Xenopus tropicalis: one gene and its partner. The protein of the gene in region 1 interacts with the protein of each later gene in a biochemical or structural test. Links are inferred from orthologs where the notes say so. Each region holds a gene or a part of one and is shown in the gene's direction. Other genes may lie near its edges.

Region 1 (4,784 bases):
TTTTCTAGTCATGTCCCTAAATATTTAAGTGGTCTGGTCACCCTGCTCTAGGCGTCCTTCAGAGATGCCCCTCTGGGGGTCCCCCTCTGTCTCTTGGTTGGTATGTATTGTGGCACTGCATGTTGGCTCATCCCTTTTGCCAGTACCCCCAGGAATGTGTACATATACAGAACACAGGAATAATAAATCAAGACCTAGTTTATTTCTGAGTTCCTCACCATTCTTGTTGATAGGGATGAATGATATCAATTGAATGAATTGAAATAGTTGGTATTTTGGGAAGAAAGATAAAAAAATATAGGAAGACCAGTATTTTATTCCAGTAAAGGGGTAAGACTATCTACAACAAATGTACAAGTGAATTGTGTCAGTTACCTGTTCCTCAGTGGGTATCTGGCACAGTTATTTTAATTGGGGACTGTGGCTTGGCACAATGTTGTAATAAACAAACATACTACCTGACTATTCAAAAAAGGAGAAGACTTGCACAACTATGCTATGGCACAGTGATGTGAAGATGATCAACATTTCACAAAATGCATTAAAGTCAATAGTTGTCAGCATTTCTTTCCAGCTCAAAAAGAATGTGTTTTTTTTTTTTTTTTTTTAAATCAACAAAACAAAATGCATGAAGATGTGGCAATTTGATGTTGGACACACTGACCAAAGCAGATGAACATGCCAGTGTTATTAGAGCACATGGAATGAAAAAAGCAAATGTGACAAAATCACTAATGTTATATTCTTACTGAGCAGTAGGGTTATAATTGTTTTGTTAAAAAAAAAAAAAAAAACCACTGATACATAATAAATATGCTCCTATGGGTCAGATGGGATGGAAGTATAAGCGTATGATCAGGATAAACGCATTTCAAAGTATGAGTTCTCCTTCCTTGAACATCACATCAGACTCACTGGCTTATTTACCAACATGGGGAAGTGACCTATGCCAACTATTCAGTATTTTACTTTAATTATTCTACCTGCAGCTGTCAAGGTAAAGGTAAACAACGGTGTTACTGTCCATATGTTGGTCAATAAGCCCCACTCTACTCACACTTCTCCAGCAATGCATGTGTATTTTTTCATTGTTTCATTGAAGGGAAGAATGGATTCAGGTTATACAACATGTAGCCGACAACCTTAAGAAACAGGAAGAAGAAATGATGGAGGTTCGGTCTGGCGACTCCCCAAGCGATAACTCTGGAGCCGAGGAAATGGAAGTTTCTCATTCGAAACCAAAACATAAAGTAGTAAGTGTCATTTTAATGTAAAATGTACAGGTTTGTAAGTAAGGGCTTTTTTATTAAATGGCACTATATTTATCAACAATGGAGCCAGACAAGTTATCCTAGTAACTCCGCTGTCTTTCAGTGGCCCCACCAAGCACAGAATTCCCTATCCAAATGTGACTAATATTGTATGCAAGGATGTCATACAGCTATAAAACTGATGGTTATATTATGTTATTAGATCAGTAAATTGGCCTTGCTTTATCTGAATTGGTACCATTTAACAGAGTGTTGAATTACAAATACATTTATTTAATCTCAACAGACAATGAATGAATTTGAGTATCTCAAGCTTTTGGGGAAAGGAACATTTGGGAAAGTTATTTTAGTCAAAGAGAAAGCAACAGGAAGATATTACGCTATGAAAATTTTAAAAAAAGAAGTTATTGTTGCAAAGGTAAGTGACCCGGAATTTCTCCAGGAATTCCCTCTCTCTCCCCGGAATGGTTATAGCATTCACTTTCTTGTATCAGCTCTTATTCTCATTCCTCGAGACAGTGCTTGTCTTTGATCTTTCATTCATTTATTTATTTATTTTTAAATAAAAAAAAATGTTTGAGGTATGCAGTGTCCATGGCAAATTCAGTAGCAGGACACCACTAAATTGAAGCAACATGGATATATTATTTTATGAAGATAAAACACACTTGTTATATAAGAGTGGCTGCTTGCCTAATGAATTGATAAATTCCAGTCCACCAGTCAGCAGCTTGGTGAAATCTGCTCTAGAATGAGTATTCTGTACCTTAAATGTTTCTTTTTTTCAGGATGAAGTAGCTCACACGCTAACAGAAAACCGCGTCCTGCAGAATTCTAGGCATCCCTTCCTAACAGTAAGTTTTAAATAGAAACATTGTGTTTTTTGCATTAATAATAAAGTTACCATGGAAAATGTATGTAAATATCTTGTAAGTTGGTTTCATAAGATACCACCATAATTATGGGTGTGTTTTATGGCTATTTGATAGCCCTGGATAAGAACTAGAACCATTGTATTTAATTGAGCTCATTTGTTAACTACTATATAGCCTATAGCCCAATTTCAACTTGAATGGTTGCCCCCATAGCTACACAGCAGCTTTTAAAGGAGAAGGAAAGACTAAGTCACTGGGGGGTGCCAAAATGTAAGCCACCCCCAGAGACTTTAATTGCTTACCTTTTACCCTGGGCTAGTGCTCCTGTGAGAAGAAGGAGTGTTTCCTTCCTTCTTCTGTCTTTGCGCCGGCCCCAGGATTCAGAAGAAAGAAGTAAGAGGAAACACTTGCTGCAGCTTCCCTGGGCTTATGTGGCTTCTCCTAATAGGAGCACCAGCCCGGGGTAAAAGGTAAGCGATTAAAGTTAAAAGGTAAGCAAGTAAGATTTTTACCTTTCGACTGCAGCCACAACAACTGCAGTCCTTGTAGACATAAAAATGAATGCTGTTTACTAATAATTTGTTTTTCTGGCCTATGGAGAAACCAGTATGGAAGCTGTAACAGATTATCCATAATTTTTAAAACAGCATCCTACATTTAACTTGCTGCTATTGCTGTGGCAATATAGTAAATATGTATTATATTTTAATGTTTTCAGTCCGTTCCTCTGAATTTATTGTTCCTTTAATGGCTGACCCTGAGGCTTTCCCCTCTGTGATATCTCATGGGTATGATGGGTGTTGGGCTTGCGTAGTGCAGCTTTTGCAGGGTCAGTTTGTTTAATTTGGCACCAATTTATAAAGTTCAGAAGACGGTTGGTTACTCAACTTTAATTTCTTGTAGGCACTGAAATATTCCTTTCAGACACATGATCGCTTATGTTTTGTCATGGAGTATGCCAATGGAGGAGAGGTTAGTACTGAGTAAATCTATCTTTCTATTGCCATTTCTATTATTTCCTACTCTGCACTGAAGTTGGTGCATTGGGGGAATCGTCTGATATGTGCTGATACTGGGCCATTTTTCATATGAGGCAAAAGAAGGTCAGTTTTGGTGCACAAAGCCGCCAAGGGGTTTTGTACTGGGAAGTGCAGCAGATCAGCTCAGAGCTGCAGTTATCGCCAGAAACCATAATGGCGAACATTTTTGGGTAATGTTTACTCAAGCAGGGCTATGCTTCATATTGATGTTGATGGTAAGTGACTCACAGAGGGGAGCGGGTATTTTCATTACATCAGCATGAAGTTCACCCCCTATGTGCCATAGATTTGACAGTAATATAAATGTGTTATTATATTATTATTATATTGTATATTATTAACCACCATCCTGCCGGTGCTATAAAACAGAAAGCCAATCAATAATCATGTTGTACATGTATTTAATCCACTGCTATAAAACTGCAGTGCTGTCTTTTTCTCCCCCTCCTTTATTTCTTCATATTTTTATGGTACAGACTAAGAAACTGCCCCTTCACCCCTATCTGCGCTATGGTTTGTCTGCAACTAGAGACACTGCACCCAGATCAGCTCTGTGTGTCTGTACCCAGGCGAGGCAGTGTCTCTGGGTGCAGACACCCCATAGATCAGATCGGAGAGGAGGGATAGTTTATCGGCCTGTGCTTATACACAGGCCAAGAAACTGCTCCGTGTTGCCCTGAACCGACTGCACCTATTCCAGTCGTTATAATTCGATCGTTTGGCCCCAGTAAATCACCAGTGGAAAGGCATATGCGTTGCATAGGTTTACTGAAATTGGCCAAAGTTTCCTTGTGAGGGAATGTTGGCAACTTAAAGGAACAGTAACACCAAAAAAATAAAGTGTATACAAGTAATAGCAATATAATGTACTGTTGCCCTCCATTGCTACAACTGGTGTGTTTGCCTCAGAAAGACTACTATAGTTTATATAAGTAAGCTGCTGTGTAGCCATGGGGGCAGCCATTCAAAGGAGAAAAGGCACAGGTTACTTAGCAGATAACAGATAAACCCCCATTATATGGGGCTTATCTACTAGTTATCTGCTATGTAAACTGTGCCTTTTTTCCAGCTTGAATGGCTGCCCCCATGGCTACACAGCAGCTTATTTATATAGTAGCTTTTCTGTAGCAAAAACACCAGTTTTTTGCAGAGCAACAGCACATTATATTTTAATTACTTTAAAACACTTTAATTTTTTGATGTTACTGTTCCTTTAATGATCTGTATGCCTTCCCACCAGCGATTCATATTATTGCTGGTGGAAAGGCATTTCAGAGAGATTAGTCTTCCATGGTATTGAGGATTTTTCATGGGCTCACTGTGGGCATCTCTAATCTCACTGTGGGTCATAGGGCCTTAGGTCTCGGATACCAAACACCCCCAGAGCACACGTTTGTGCTTGTAAATCATATGTTCCAATAGACTCCTACAAATGTTAACAGTACTTCAGCCTATCAGATCCTCATGCTGCCCACAGTACAATGGGACAAGAATACTCTGTGTTTAAAATTAACAGAGGAAAAGGGTTAATTTATTAGAAGATTCAATAGTTTTCTTTTTTCTCTAGTTATTCTTCCACTTATCAAGAGAACGTATAT
Region 2 (4,884 bases), on another chromosome or scaffold:
GTAGCTAAAATTACAGCCATAAAAAATTCTATGCACTAATTTTAGTTTGGGCTCTCTACATGTCACATATTTTAGTTACTCATTTCATATTGGTCATTAAATTGTTCAGAAGACCCTGGCATTCACGTATAGGATGTTTTATTCTTGTACCTGAGGAAATGTGAGAGATAACATCATGTATACTGCATGCTTTGCATTGATTTTCAGACAAACCAACATCTGTAGCAAAGATTTGAAGTTTGGAGTAATAATAAAAACAAGCATATAGGTGTAAAAATGATGTATTTGCCCATATTTACCTATTTTGAGTTCATCTGAATGTAAACTTTTTAAAAATGTTTTTTCTCTGGTAAGTTTACTGACCCAGGCATTTTTGTCTTGCAATCTAGTATGCTGATTTCTGGTGCTTTGAAAATTCACTTTACTGTAGGTCAGTGGTTCTCAACCTGTGGGTCGGGACTATTTCACAGGGGTCGCCAAGACCATCGGAAAACACACATTTCAAATGGTCCTAGGAATAATTTTATGGTTGGGGGTCACCACAACATGAGGAACTGTATGAAAGGGTCGCGGCATTAGGAAGCTTGAGAATCATTGGTGTAGTAGATGTTTAACACATACACATAAGGAAACCCCATAAAACTATACACACTCTAGTCAGGTTACCACCTTACTGGTATTTTACCGTAAAATACCCTACACTGTGTCGATATCAGGCTTTCCAAATGAGTTGTATTATTTTTACTTGCAAAATAGGTTTGATTCCTCTAGATATGAAATTATTAGTCAATTAACAACGCAACGCTTTGTTTGCAGATTTGGAAGAAAGAAACGCTTTAATTGTATAGAGCAGGGGTAGGGAACCTACGGCTCGGGAGCCAGATGTGGCTCTTGATGGCTGCATCTGGCTCCCTGCCAAATCTTTAATAAAAAAAAATAATGTGGAGCGTGGCCTGCGCTTAGCGGATAGAAGACATGTTCTATGCCTTAGAACACATCTTCTATCCGCCAAGCGCAGGCCACGCCCTCCTCCGCGTCCGGCATCCTTACCAGGTTGCACTTGAACCAGGGCCCAGGGAACGGAGAGGGACATTGGAGCAGAAACCTGTCACGCTTGAATTGAAAATAAAATGTGACCAGTATGTCTCTGTTGGGGCTACAAAGAGAAGCCAACTGTGCACTGTGCTAGGTAGCCCTCTAGTTATACCACTAACAAGCCATATTGAACAGCTAAAGATGACACCCACCCTACCTTGCCCCACAGCATCCGCGGCCTTCGGCCTAGCTCCCGTTGGCCATTGTATGGCTCTCACGGAATTACATTTTAAAATATGTGGTGTTTATGGCTCTCTCAGTCAATAAGGTTCCCGACCCCTGGTATAGAGACCTAAGAATATGATTATAATATATAATAATTAAATCAATAGCTATTGCTTCGATTTTGTCTGTGTGTGTCACTGGGCCTGCAATAAACCATCCACCCTCCAGGCTTTTCTCTCAATGACTGCACTTGAGCGCTATCATTTATCGCCACGCCCATGCGACTAGACTCGGATCCATAAGGGCGTGGGGATGAGCGCAGCTTCCGATGACATCTCTAGGAAGTGACGTACGGCGAAGAAGCAAAGGAACTGGCTGAGGAGGAGGTGTGGAGCCATAAAGGAGAGGTTCGTGACGTCACGGCGGCCATTATACTGTACAGTACACTCTGAGAAAGAAGGAGCCGTAGCTGCAAAATTACAGCGGACTGTCTGATAACGTTATTTCTTTATTACCTCTACTAGCTCTGTACCTCTTACGAGGCGCTTTGAAGCCCTCTGGACTGTGTCCGTTTAGATACTGTCGCCTGAGATCCCGGCACTCCCCTGGGTTCCGTATTTTATTCAACTGACGGTCCCCACCCCTGCCAGCAGCGGTCGACTTGTTGGTTTTCTGACGCCATTCATTGGCTCTTGGTCCCTCCGAGGGCATACCCGGTGACTGCCTCCCTAGGCCGCCGGTCTTTTCCTTAGACAGCCATGGATGAAAAGGCGTTCACGAAGGAGTTGGATCAGTGGATCGAGCAGCTGAATGAGTGCAAGCAGCTATCGGAGAACCAGGTCAAGACTCTGTGCGAGAAGGTACGGGTGGCGCAATGGCAACTTTAAATAGACTGCTGGTAGCAGCCGTGATTATTTTAGAACTATACATATATATTAGCCTGCTGTGGAGCTACAGCCATCAATAGTAGTAGGTAGTTCCTAACGTCATATCGGTTTGTGGGCAGTAACATGGAGCGCACGTAGGTCTTGCGGGGGAGATCATTATTCCGTATTGGGGAACGCATTATTCCGTATGGAGGCCGTATCTTTCGCTATTACGGGTTGCTATACACTTTATACAACATGTAGGCTGGTTGGTAGACACATGAAACGTACTATATATGTCTATCGCCCTAATATATGTGGGAAGGCGTGTTACGGACACCGGGGGGCTAGCGTACAGGGGCTATAGTATCTGTAGTGTTTGCTGTACAGCAGCGCCCATGTGTGAGCTGCACTCGGCACGTCCCACTCCCGGCGAGAGGCTCTGTGGGCGCAGGCTCGGGCTGCTAAGCTCATGGCGCCTTTTGTCGTTCATAAGATGGCGGCTGCTCCACCCCCCGCAGGAATGCGCATGCACGCCAGGACGTGTCACTACTAGTGCGCGCCTCGGCCGGCGGCGCGCTCCCATTTGCTTGGAATGTTACAGGGAATGCAGGGGTCATGGGGATTCTTGGTACAGTGAACGTTGTGCTTTACGGCTCCTTGTAGTAAAGTAAGGCCATATTCTGCCAGAACCACGGGCTAACGTAATCCTGATCTATGGCTTGTTGGGAAAATGTGTTGGTGGAGATGCCACAGTCCAAAAGAGTGGTGGGAATTCCTTGTGTGCTGCTGTATAGGTTGGCCAGCCACTGAGCTAGGTAACATTCATTTGAACATCTCTCATTAAAATGAATAGATGCAGAGCTTTCTATTTATAATCACATATAAGTGGCAGTACAATAAATAGGTATATATATCAAACATGCAGATTTACATACAAAGCAGCCAATCACTGACACAAGAGGTAAAGAGGGCCCTGCCCAATAGAGCTTGCAATCTAAAAGGAGTTCACAGGGTTGGCGGTGGTATGCTTTTTGATGTTTTTCTATTTACGCCCAGGGATTATAAGAATGATGTTGTCCCTTGTGGTCCCTCCTGATGTAGCTAGCTGCGGTTAGTACCAGATTCAGCTGATGTTGGGCCGCAGGACAGTGATTGAGTACATTGGCCAATATTGTGGTGCAATCATGCTCCAGTGTGTTTTCCATGGCCATAGTTGTAGCTAGCTGCATCTAATAGGGCGGGCCACACAGTTACTCACTCTGGTAAATTATGTACAAGGTATGGCAACTTTGCCAAGAATCTCCGAAGCTCATGTAAAACGTGCAATTTTATGAAAACAGCACTGCTAGGAAGTGCATACAAATATTTTAGAATTGTTCAGAAATCTATAAATAAAAGTCAATTTTCTTAGTGCCAGGACTATAAACTTAAGGCTGAAGTGTCTATCAAAGGATTCTTAAAGTTTGATTCTGCTCCTATGAGCCTTTTTTGAGCTCACATTCATTTTCTGCTCTATGCCAGCCATTTTTAAGGCTGTACAAGAAGCGGGTTGTTCATGTGGGCCTTTCAGCTGTTGCTTAAGTAGAAAAATGCAGCCAAACCAATTGGTGTTACAGCTGGGATACAGAGAGGCTACTTATAGGCATGCTGTGAGAAATCCATTGTTAGCTGGCCAATAACCTGTGATTGCTTTTTGCCGGCATGGTCCATTTGGTACTAGGGATGCACAGTATTGGCAAAGGGACAGAGAAGCTCAAAGTAGACCCTTTCTGTGGAGAAGTGTGGCTTATTGACTGTATGGGCAGTGCTGCTTTTACCTCCATCAGCTTAATTAAATCCCCCTCTGTCCAAAAGTCATGTCTATTCGCAGATTTACAACAGTGTTGTGTAGTGTGCAGAAAGATCTGCCTGCCTGGGATGTACAATGCAGCTGCATTGCTTAGAGAAGTCTCTACCACTGCACCACGGGAAAGGCAATAATAAGTGTTTGTCACTGTTTTCCACATAAAGCAATCTTTTCTTTTCTCATCACGTGACGGTTATTCAAGCAAATGTAGCTGCAACTCTTTCTTTTTCAAGCCTTCTCTAGCTAAAAACTGACAGACTATGCATAGTACATGGATATGGGGCAGGATTAATGGGCCTCCATACTCGCAATTCCTTAATTAAAAGGATATCTTCATGTAAGAAACTTTACTATGAAATATAAAATAACTATAAACCGCTTTCAAATATACATAAATTGCAGCTTTTAGTGGTTTTATTTTTTTTTAACTGCAATTGTTATTAAATTTAAATATAGTTTCTCTTTCATTGTCTGCATGAATGGATACACATGCTTCTCCATTACATTTACAAGTAACTTTAAAATATAAAACGGTGGTTTTAATAAATAAGCAACTAGGACGATAAAGCGTCATAAGGGCAGAGGCCAAATTAATGATGAATAACTGGGTAAGCCTGTTAGTGCTGTCTAGAGTGTGTATAATTTAGTATTTAATGGTGCTAGTAATTTTGCTTGCATAAGATTCCAGCCTTCTCAGACTGGCAGCAGCTATAAATAAACTGACAAGTCACCTCCAAGTTAACTGTTTATATATTTTATAATTTGTACAGTTTGCAGTTGGGTTTTGTTTTGAACTGTTTTGTAGCTTTCTAGTTTGGAACCAGACTGGAAGGGAAATATGAAAGAGATCACAATAGCAAACCTTTAATGCAAACAGCAGATGTAAAAGGAACAGTATAATCACTAAGG

What was found. The genes of interacting proteins can lie anywhere in the genome.
Region 2: of the proteins of akt1 (region 1) and ppp2ca, one has a biochemical effect on the other in vitro, tested with the Homo sapiens proteins (6 studies listed by BioGRID and IntAct, with this or other methods). The link is inferred for Xenopus tropicalis from reciprocal best matches to the Homo sapiens genes AKT1 and PPP2CA.

What each region holds. Positions count from the first base shown.
Region 1 is NC_030684.2:99,689,608-99,694,391, reverse strand, and holds part of akt1 (RAC-alpha serine/threonine-protein kinase), read left to right. Parts: intron 1-1,102; coding exon 1,103-1,253; intron 1,254-1,557; coding exon 1,558-1,689; intron 1,690-2,059; coding exon 2,060-2,125; intron 2,126-3,049; coding exon 3,050-3,118; intron 3,119-4,753; coding exon 4,754-4,784. UniProt on the Homo sapiens protein: AKT1 is one of 3 closely related serine/threonine-protein kinases (AKT1, AKT2 and AKT3) called the AKT kinase, and which regulate many processes including metabolism, proliferation, cell survival, growth and angiogenesis.
Region 2 is NC_030679.2:26,542,738-26,547,621, forward strand, and holds the start of ppp2ca (serine/threonine-protein phosphatase 2A catalytic subunit alpha isoform), read left to right. Parts: upstream 1-1,720; 5' UTR 1,721-2,018; coding exon 2,019-2,120; intron 2,121-4,884. UniProt on the Homo sapiens protein: Catalytic subunit of protein phosphatase 2A (PP2A), a serine/threonine phosphatase involved in the regulation of a wide variety of enzymes, signal transduction pathways, and cellular events.